Linked DNA regions of Rhinolophus ferrumequinum. The protein of the gene in region 2 interacts with the protein of the main gene of each other region in a pairwise test. Links are inferred from orthologs where the notes say so. Each region holds a gene or a part of one and is shown on either strand. Other genes may lie near its edges.

The links.
Region 1: the proteins of CDK5RAP3 (region 2) and TSPYL4 interact in binary tests that used the Homo sapiens proteins (3 or more experiments, as listed by UniProt). The two-hybrid records come from large-scale screens. The link is inferred for Rhinolophus ferrumequinum from reciprocal best matches to the Homo sapiens genes CDK5RAP3 and TSPYL4.

Annotation. Positions count from the first base shown.
Region 1 is NC_046286.1:67,183,953-67,187,866, reverse strand, and holds the start of TSPYL4 (testis-specific Y-encoded-like protein 4), read left to right. Parts: upstream 1-1,442; 5' UTR 1,443-1,532; coding exon 1,533-2,777; 3' UTR 2,778-3,914.
Region 2 is NC_046304.1:35,002,514-35,006,427, forward strand, and holds the start of CDK5RAP3 (CDK5 regulatory subunit-associated protein 3), read right to left. Parts: upstream 2,873-3,914; 5' UTR 2,740-2,872; coding exon 2,734-2,739; intron 2,505-2,733; coding exon 2,459-2,504; intron 726-2,458; coding exon 594-725; intron 315-593; coding exon 214-314; intron 1-213. UniProt on the Homo sapiens protein: Substrate adapter of E3 ligase complexes mediating ufmylation, the covalent attachment of the ubiquitin-like modifier UFM1 to substrate proteins, and which is involved in various processes, such as ribosome recycling and reticulophagy (also called ER-phagy).

The DNA.
Region 1 (3,914 bases), on a different chromosome or scaffold from region 2:
TATCCTTGAGTAGCTGACTAGGGGTACCAAAAAAATCTTAATTTTTTATGAATTCTCTGGAAAATCTTTGTGAGCTAAACTGACTCTGCATGACAAGCAGTTTCTCTGTAATGTCTGCCAGTGCCTTTCCATTAGTACCTCATTCTTAGCTGGACGAGGTAAGCACTACTTCCCTCACTAGAAATCTCAATATACCTGCTGCTTTTCTCTAAATCCTTTTCCCCTAAGTCCTTTCCTCTTCCTGAATCCTCTTCTGAGCCCTTATTTGAAAGGGATCACAATCTGGGGTGCTCTGTATTGGAGTTTACATTACAGAGTTACAATCATAATAATTTTCTAGTATAAACTTAAGACATTAAACAAAAATAAGCAAACTTAGTTTTCCTTCCTTCCTGCATTTTTTAAAAGGATAAACACCAGTATTTTCACACTCCAACAAGCTAACAAAACAGCAGATAGTACTGACATCACTGTCTAATGAACTGTATGAGCTAACTGACTTGAATAGACAGGAACTTTTTCTTATTTTTTAAGTAAATATTTTGATATTAAAGTAATCTTAATTAAGACAATAGCTTCAGGGCTTATCACAGGAGCAAATTTTGGCAAATATTTGCTGGTGTCATGCCCACGGGCATTATGAAGCAGGAACGTTTTTAAGATGAAGATTATAACCTGAGGATAAGCAACATATAAAAGGCATAACTTTAGAAATTAAAACCCCCTGAGATTACATTTCTTCCTATAATGCTTAAAGACTAAATTTGCACACTTGCTCCTGTGTGTCACCTCTTAGTAGGGAAAATACATTTTTCCTCTTACATTAGTTAAAAGTGAAGAGGGAATATTGTCCAGTTGCTTTGTAGGTGTTTGCCAAAGTATATAAACTTTAAAATCTGTAAGAAAAATTGAAATGGTCTTTTATTATATATCTTGTTAGGATGAGACAAGTTTCCCTTTCAGTTGCTCCTGATTTTTAAATGATCGCACTTGACACAGCAATACTTCACTTTTCTTAAAAACCAAACTCTGTTCATCTCAATTTTTGGTAATAGCCATGAATCTGTACATTAAAGGAGGAAGGCCTGTGAATTGCTGAATTCACTTTACTGTACATGAGAAGCCCACTGAGCTGAGTTTAAATAAACAAGTAACCTTTCTCACCTTTTAAGCAAATATTTTAACAATAGCTTAGGTGCCTTAGAAATTCAGTCTTAGAAATCCACATTAACACAAAGCAGACCAAACATGCTTGAGTTTGGTCTGCATCCAAGTATACAAACCAAGCCTGTTGCAGACTGACAAAATTCAAAACATTTCGTAACACAAAGACAAAGGAATACTCTTGACTGAGGAGCTTAATCACAAGGCGCAGTTCTCGCCCGATATTAAGGCTCTGCTGTCCTGACGTCACCGGTTGCCATGGCAGCATCCTCCCAGGGAGGAAAAGAAGGGTGGTGCGAGGGGCGGAGCACGGCTTCTACAGAGGACAAGGATCGCTCTCTCATCCTGCAGGTCTGACTTCTACCAAAATGAGCGGCAAGGATGGGGACCACACCGTTCCTGTCGCTAAAACCTGCGGCCTTGCTGCTCCTGAGCATGCTCCAGGACATCCGGACCTGAACCAGCGTCAGAGCGAGGAAACCGAGGCGACACAGGTGATGGCGGACACAGGTGAGGGCAGTTTGGAGACTGCCGCGGAGGGAGGCGCATCTCGGGCCCACTGGGGCTGTGGCCCTGTGCTCCGCATTCGAGTTGCTGCGAGTCGCAGCCGTGCAACGGCTACAATGGGCCAGAAAGAGGCTCCGCCACCCACGGAGGGCCTGGACGCAGCCTCTGCCTCCGCCTCGGTGGCTACAGACAATAGTCCGGAAAATGGCTGTCAGCCTAGAGAGCCGAGCGGCTCTGCTGGAGAGAAAGCTCTAGAAGCCTGTGGCGCAGGGCATTTAGGGTCTCTGATGCTGCTGTCTGGGGCAAAGGCCAAGGAATTGACGTCAAAAAAGTGCGCCATCTCAGCGACAGCAGAAAAGGAGGGAGTAGCAGAAGTGGGGGTGGAAGAAAAGGTGATTCAGAAGGAGAAAAAGGCGGTAGGAGGAATGAAAGAGGAGACACGCGCCAGGGGCCCGAAGATCAATAACTGCATGGACTCGCTAGAGGCCATCGATCAGGAGCTGTCAAACGTCAATGCCCAGGCCGACAGGGCCTTCCTTCAACTGGAGCGCAAGTTTGGCCGGATGCGAAGGCTCCATATGCAGCGCAGAAGTTTCATTATCCAGAATATCCCAGGTTTCTGGGTCACTGCTTTTCGGAACCATCCCCAGCTGTCACCTATGATCAGTGGCCAAGATGAAGACATGATGAGGTACATGATCAACTTGGAAGTTGAGGAGCTTAAACACCCTAGAGCAGGCTGCAAATTCAGGTTCATCTTTCAGAGCAACCCCTACTTCCGAAATGAGGGGCTCGTCAAGGAATATGAGCGCAGATCCTCTGGCCGGGTGGTGTCTCTTTCCACTCCAATCCGCTGGCACCGGGGCCAAGACCCCCAGGCCCATATCCACAGGAACCGGGAAGGGAACACCATCCCCAGTTTCTTCAACTGGTTCTCAGACCACAGCCTCCTTGAATTCGACAGGATTGCTGAGATTATCAAAGCAGAACTGTGGCCCAACCCCCTACAGTATTACCTGATGGGTGAAGGGCCCCGCAGAGGAATTCGAGACCCAGCAAGGCAGCCAGTGGAGAGCCCCAGGTCCTTCAGGTTCCAGTCTGGCTAACTCCTGATCTGTGAGAAGCTCCTGCACAAGTCTCCTTACCACCTCCTCTTGGATTCTGTGCTTAGCCAACAGCATGCAATTTTCCATCTGCTTTCTCTTCACACTGGATTGTTTTGTTCTTTGGTTCTTCTAAATCTTCAATCAGTGTCAAGATTGTTGCTTACATGCCTATGCTCCTTTTCCTCTGGGCTTTGGTGCTGTTCTGCAAAGTGTTCCGTGTTCCAAGTGCATGGTCTCCCACTGCTTCTCTGCCAAGCACATGCCATAGATATGCACTGACTTCCTTTGCATGCCTTGGGCGTTCTCTGTGACTATGGTCTTTTCCCAGTTTTTTGAGTGTTTACCACAAGGAAGCTTAATATATATCTTTGCAAATAACTACCTGGGCTTCATAACGATGCTGGCTCTGTTCCTCATACCCTGTACTCTATGGTGAGCTCTCTGAGTGTCACCACTGTAAGATGAAGCTGATACAGATGATGCCAGCCATCAACCCAAACTGGACATTCCAAGCTATCACTAACTGGTTCCCAGCTGCTTTCCTGAGCCTGTGCCATCCAGCCTGCTGGTTATTTGACAGAATAAGCAGGTGGCTGATGGGTGGCTACTAGGCATGAATGAGGTAACAGATGTGTTCTGTTATCATGTTGATCTCCTTAATGCCCTTGGTCACTCTACATCGTGACCAGGTACTGGTGAGTATGAAAGCCTGTGCTGTGGCCCACCCAAACCTATTCTCAGCTTTTTGGATGAGCTTTGCACAGTCACCATGGCCTCCCTCCTCAGGAACTATCGTTGGACTTAAGCCCCCAGGCAGCGCACAGGAACTACTCCCTTCCCAAATGATTACCGAGAAACCCAATTGACTGTTGGGATGGTTGGGCAGTCACTTGTGACAGTGCCTAAAGCAAGGCTGGAATGGGGGTCCCTTCCAACAGTTAGCCTTTCTGAGTCCTAGACAATAAACCACCCAGGAGCACCGAGGAAGATGTATTTTTGGTCTGTCTTCCTCTCCCTCCTTCCCCAGTCTCCTTGCCTTTGTTTCCCCCTCCCTCCTCCCCCTGCCCTGCTTCCTTCCTCTCATAAGCAGTTACTGCTCAGAAACAGACAAAAGGTGGGACAGCAGTGCTGTCAGGG
Region 2 (3,914 bases):
TCGTGAGGTGGGCTGGACCACCCACTTGATTTTAAGAGTGTGGCGCCAATGAGAGATCCCCAAAGCAGCATGTCTGAAATGTAAACCCAGGAGAGGAGGTACTTTTGGAATAAACTATGGGACAGAGAGAAAGTTCGGGAAACATTCCATGTGGGCGTCCCTCAGAGAGCTCACAGAGGCTCTGATCCTGTCACCACCCTCGCCCACACTTGCCTTCATTCGCTGTGAAGAATACCGGCCAAAAATATTTTTTGTAGAAGCTTCAGTGCCCTTGAGAAGGTCCACAATTCTTAGGCAATGGAAGTAGTGAATATCTGGAAAGCAAGTGAGAGCAAAAACTGAGAATTCCAGTATTTTCCCCACTTACTCTGGCCAACGCACATGACTAACCCATGTATAGGCTAATAGTGTTAGCAGGCATAGCTCTTCCCTTCATCAGTCTGTGTTGGAAGAAACCAGCATTTATATATACCCCAAACAAAAATCTTTCTCTAGGGATCAGCCTTGTGGCTAAACAACAGGGGAGCAGCTCAGCTGACATATATTGCTCCAGGAAAGAAGGGGCTCCAGGAAGGCAGCCCCAGAGCACTCACAGGATCCAGAGAGCAGCTGGGCGATCTCTTCACTTTCGGGCATGTCCTGGATGGCAGCATTGATCTTCTCGCGAATCGTCAACACCAGACTCTGCCATTTCAGGTTACAATGCCTTCTGTCCACCAGCCAGTCTGTGTGAGAAACACCCAAATCACAGCGTTCCCATTCATATGGCCAAAATTCCATTACTAATTCAAGTAAAATACGCTAAGACATTGGCTGAAATATGTACTCAGATTGGTTAAGGTGTGGGGGTCGTGGGAAGCTGGGAATAAAGACAGGTCCAAAAGGATGCTTGGGGCTAAACAGACTCTGACAACCTACTTAGCAGAGCAATTGCCTCTACACAGAGATAAAGAAAAATTTTAAACTGGCCTTGACATCAAAGCACCACTTTTGACCGCTCTGAATTCTCCATAATCTTTTTGCTTCCATGGGTAATTATATCTTTCTTACTGACAGAGGATGCTGTTCTACTTCCACTTCCTCAGGGCTGGGATTAACCACGACAATGGAAAATACAAGATGGTATGCCAAGTACTGGATGAATGAACAACTGCAAAGCCTCTAATACCTACAGCACCCTAAGGACTAGATAATACTGGTCTATTCTTACCAGTGAAGTACGACCCTGCACACGTGAACACCAATGTGACTGACTTCCTGGAGTCTGGGCCCAGATTTGTTTTTTGCAGAGGGTGTAGGTAACTGAGGGCCGTGCATGTTTCCTCAGTAGGAGAGAGATAAGAGCTAGGTTTTGTGGTCAAATGGTCCTGGTTTCTAATTATCAACTTTCTTGGGCAAGGCTCTCATGTGCCCCAAATGTAAAATGGGGGTAGTAAGATACTGAGTACAAGAGGGAATGCAGGTAAAACACAGCACTGCGCATGGAACATGGCAAGGACTCAATAAATCTTAGTAATCTTTATTTTTATAACATCAAGTGCCTAAAACAGCACCTGATATAGAGCAAACCCTCAATGAATAGTTATTGTTTTATTGGTCCCTTTCATGACCAATGACAAGCTAATATACCAAGAATGCATATGTGCTGAAGAGCTGAGACAAATCTGAAATGAAGCTAAAGAAGCTCCACTGAGTAGCCACTGCACAGGACTAACTAAATGGCCCACAATAGTGAATTCAGAACCTTGCCCTTGTTAATAAATCTGCCAACTGGTCAAACACTGGGGTCCCACACCAGTTATCATTATACTCCCTCTGCTGTATTCCTTTAAAGTGTTCAGAAAGAAAAATTCTGTGGCTGTCATGGAACTAGAAGCAAAGGGATGAGGTAGTCTAACAGATGTCATCTTAACGACAAAACTGGCATCAAGTCGATTAATACAATGAGCACTTTAAAACTCAGGAGCTGTGTACTTGCCCCAAAGGGGTCAGAATGAAGAAGTCCTTTCCTGGCCCTGAACTGGGGAGGAGGTATGTAGATCAAACAGCAGGGAGATGGCCGGGCTACTTAATGGTCTTTATTTCTAACTGGGTCTGTGTCCCTTTTTCTCCTACTAAAGTCAAGAAGAGATGGAAGCTTTTAAAAAGAAAGGAGGGAGAGTTCTTTTCTGGCATAATACAAAAAGCATAGACATTAGAGAATAATTTCAGATCTGCCACTCAGTAGATGATCGTTTTTAAGGTAAGCTATTATAACCTTCTCTAAATGAATATGATCTGACAACACGTTATAAATGTTAAAGAAGAAAACGCGGGTGAAGTACAGATTCCATGTATAGTTCCTTCCCGCTCCTCAACAGAGGCCTTGGGGCATCAGGGCTCCCAGCTGTTGGTGACAGAGGGCAAAGGGCCGGGCCTCCCCCTGACAGCAAGGCGGCGCGGGAGCGCCCCTTCCTACCGATCAGCTTGCTGGTCTGGATGTCGATGGGCACGTGCTGATGGTCCTGGCGGGAAACACGACAGAAATCGGGGAGTGAACGCGGGGAGGGGGCGTGCCACTCGCGCGCTCATTTCACCCGCACAACCGCCACCCCGCGGGGCCAGAACGACGAGTCGGGGAGGGCTGCGCCTGCCCGGGAGGGAGGCCGAGGAAGTGGATCAGGGGAGGACGGGCTGAACCCAATCCAGGGGTCCCGGACCAGCCCCCCATTTCCCCAGCTCCTATTCCCCCACCTGCATCTTTCCTCTACTTCCTTTTTCCGGCCGACGACCCAGGCCCGCCCCGCCTACTACCAATCCAGCACTAGCGTGGCGGAGCCTCAGTTTAGGTACAAACCGGCCTCCTCCGGCCACGTAGCTGCTTTCCTCAGAGCCAATCAGGCCGCGCGCTCCACCCCTGGCCTCAAGCCCCACCACCCCCGGGCTCCGAATGGCTGAGCCCGGGAGGGGCGGGAGAACAGCAGACAGCCAATGGGAGATGTGAGGCGGGCTCAGGGCCGGCGAGGGGCGGGGCGCCAGGAAAGGGCTGCAGCGGCGGCACGATCGAGGCAGGCGGCGCCGGAGAGCCGATTCCAGCCGCGCGGGGCTTTCAGCGCACGGATTAGCGCGTTTGCTGGCAGGGTACTAGCGCCTATCTGTGTGAACCTGGAGGCCATTAGAAATGCCCTCTTCCCGCTTTATCTTGCTCTACCGTCTCTCGTAGTTTGTGGGTTTCTTGTGGCACTTGTCATTCCGTTTATCTAACAGACAAGTATTGAGCACCTCCTGCGTGCTGGGTGATTAGGAAGGGAAGGGGAGGGAGGAGGGTCAAAAGAGGCATCACAGCATAACATGTAAATTGAGTCTTAAAGGAAGAGCTGCAGGAAGAGGGGTAATGTGTGGAGGGGTGTTCCGGGTGGAGGAGACTGTACAGACAAAGCTTTGGAGGCCACAAACTGCAAGAGGGGTGCAGGGAGCAACAGACTGGCAACTTAATTGGTGCAGTTCAGTGCAAAATGAAAATGTGGGGCCCCTTGTTAAAAAATATGAAGAAGGGGCCAGCCCGGTGGCTCAGGCGGTTGGAGCTCCATGCTCCTAACTCGAAGGCAGGCAGTTCGATTCCCACATGGGCCAGTGGGCTCTCAACCACAAGGTTGCCGGTTCAACTCCTCAGTTCAACTCCTCGAGTCCTGCAAGGGATGGTGGGCTGCGCCCCCTGCAACTAGAAAACGGCAACTGGACCTGGAGCTGAGCTGTGCCCTCCACAACTAAGACTGAAAGGACAACAACTTGACTTGGAAAAAAGTCCTGGAAGTACACACTGTTCCCCAATGAAGTCCTGTTCCCCTTCCCCAATAAAATCTTTAGAAAAAAAAATATGAAGAATTTCCCGTGGTCACTGAATAGGTCTCACATTCATGAGGTCCACCCTGCAG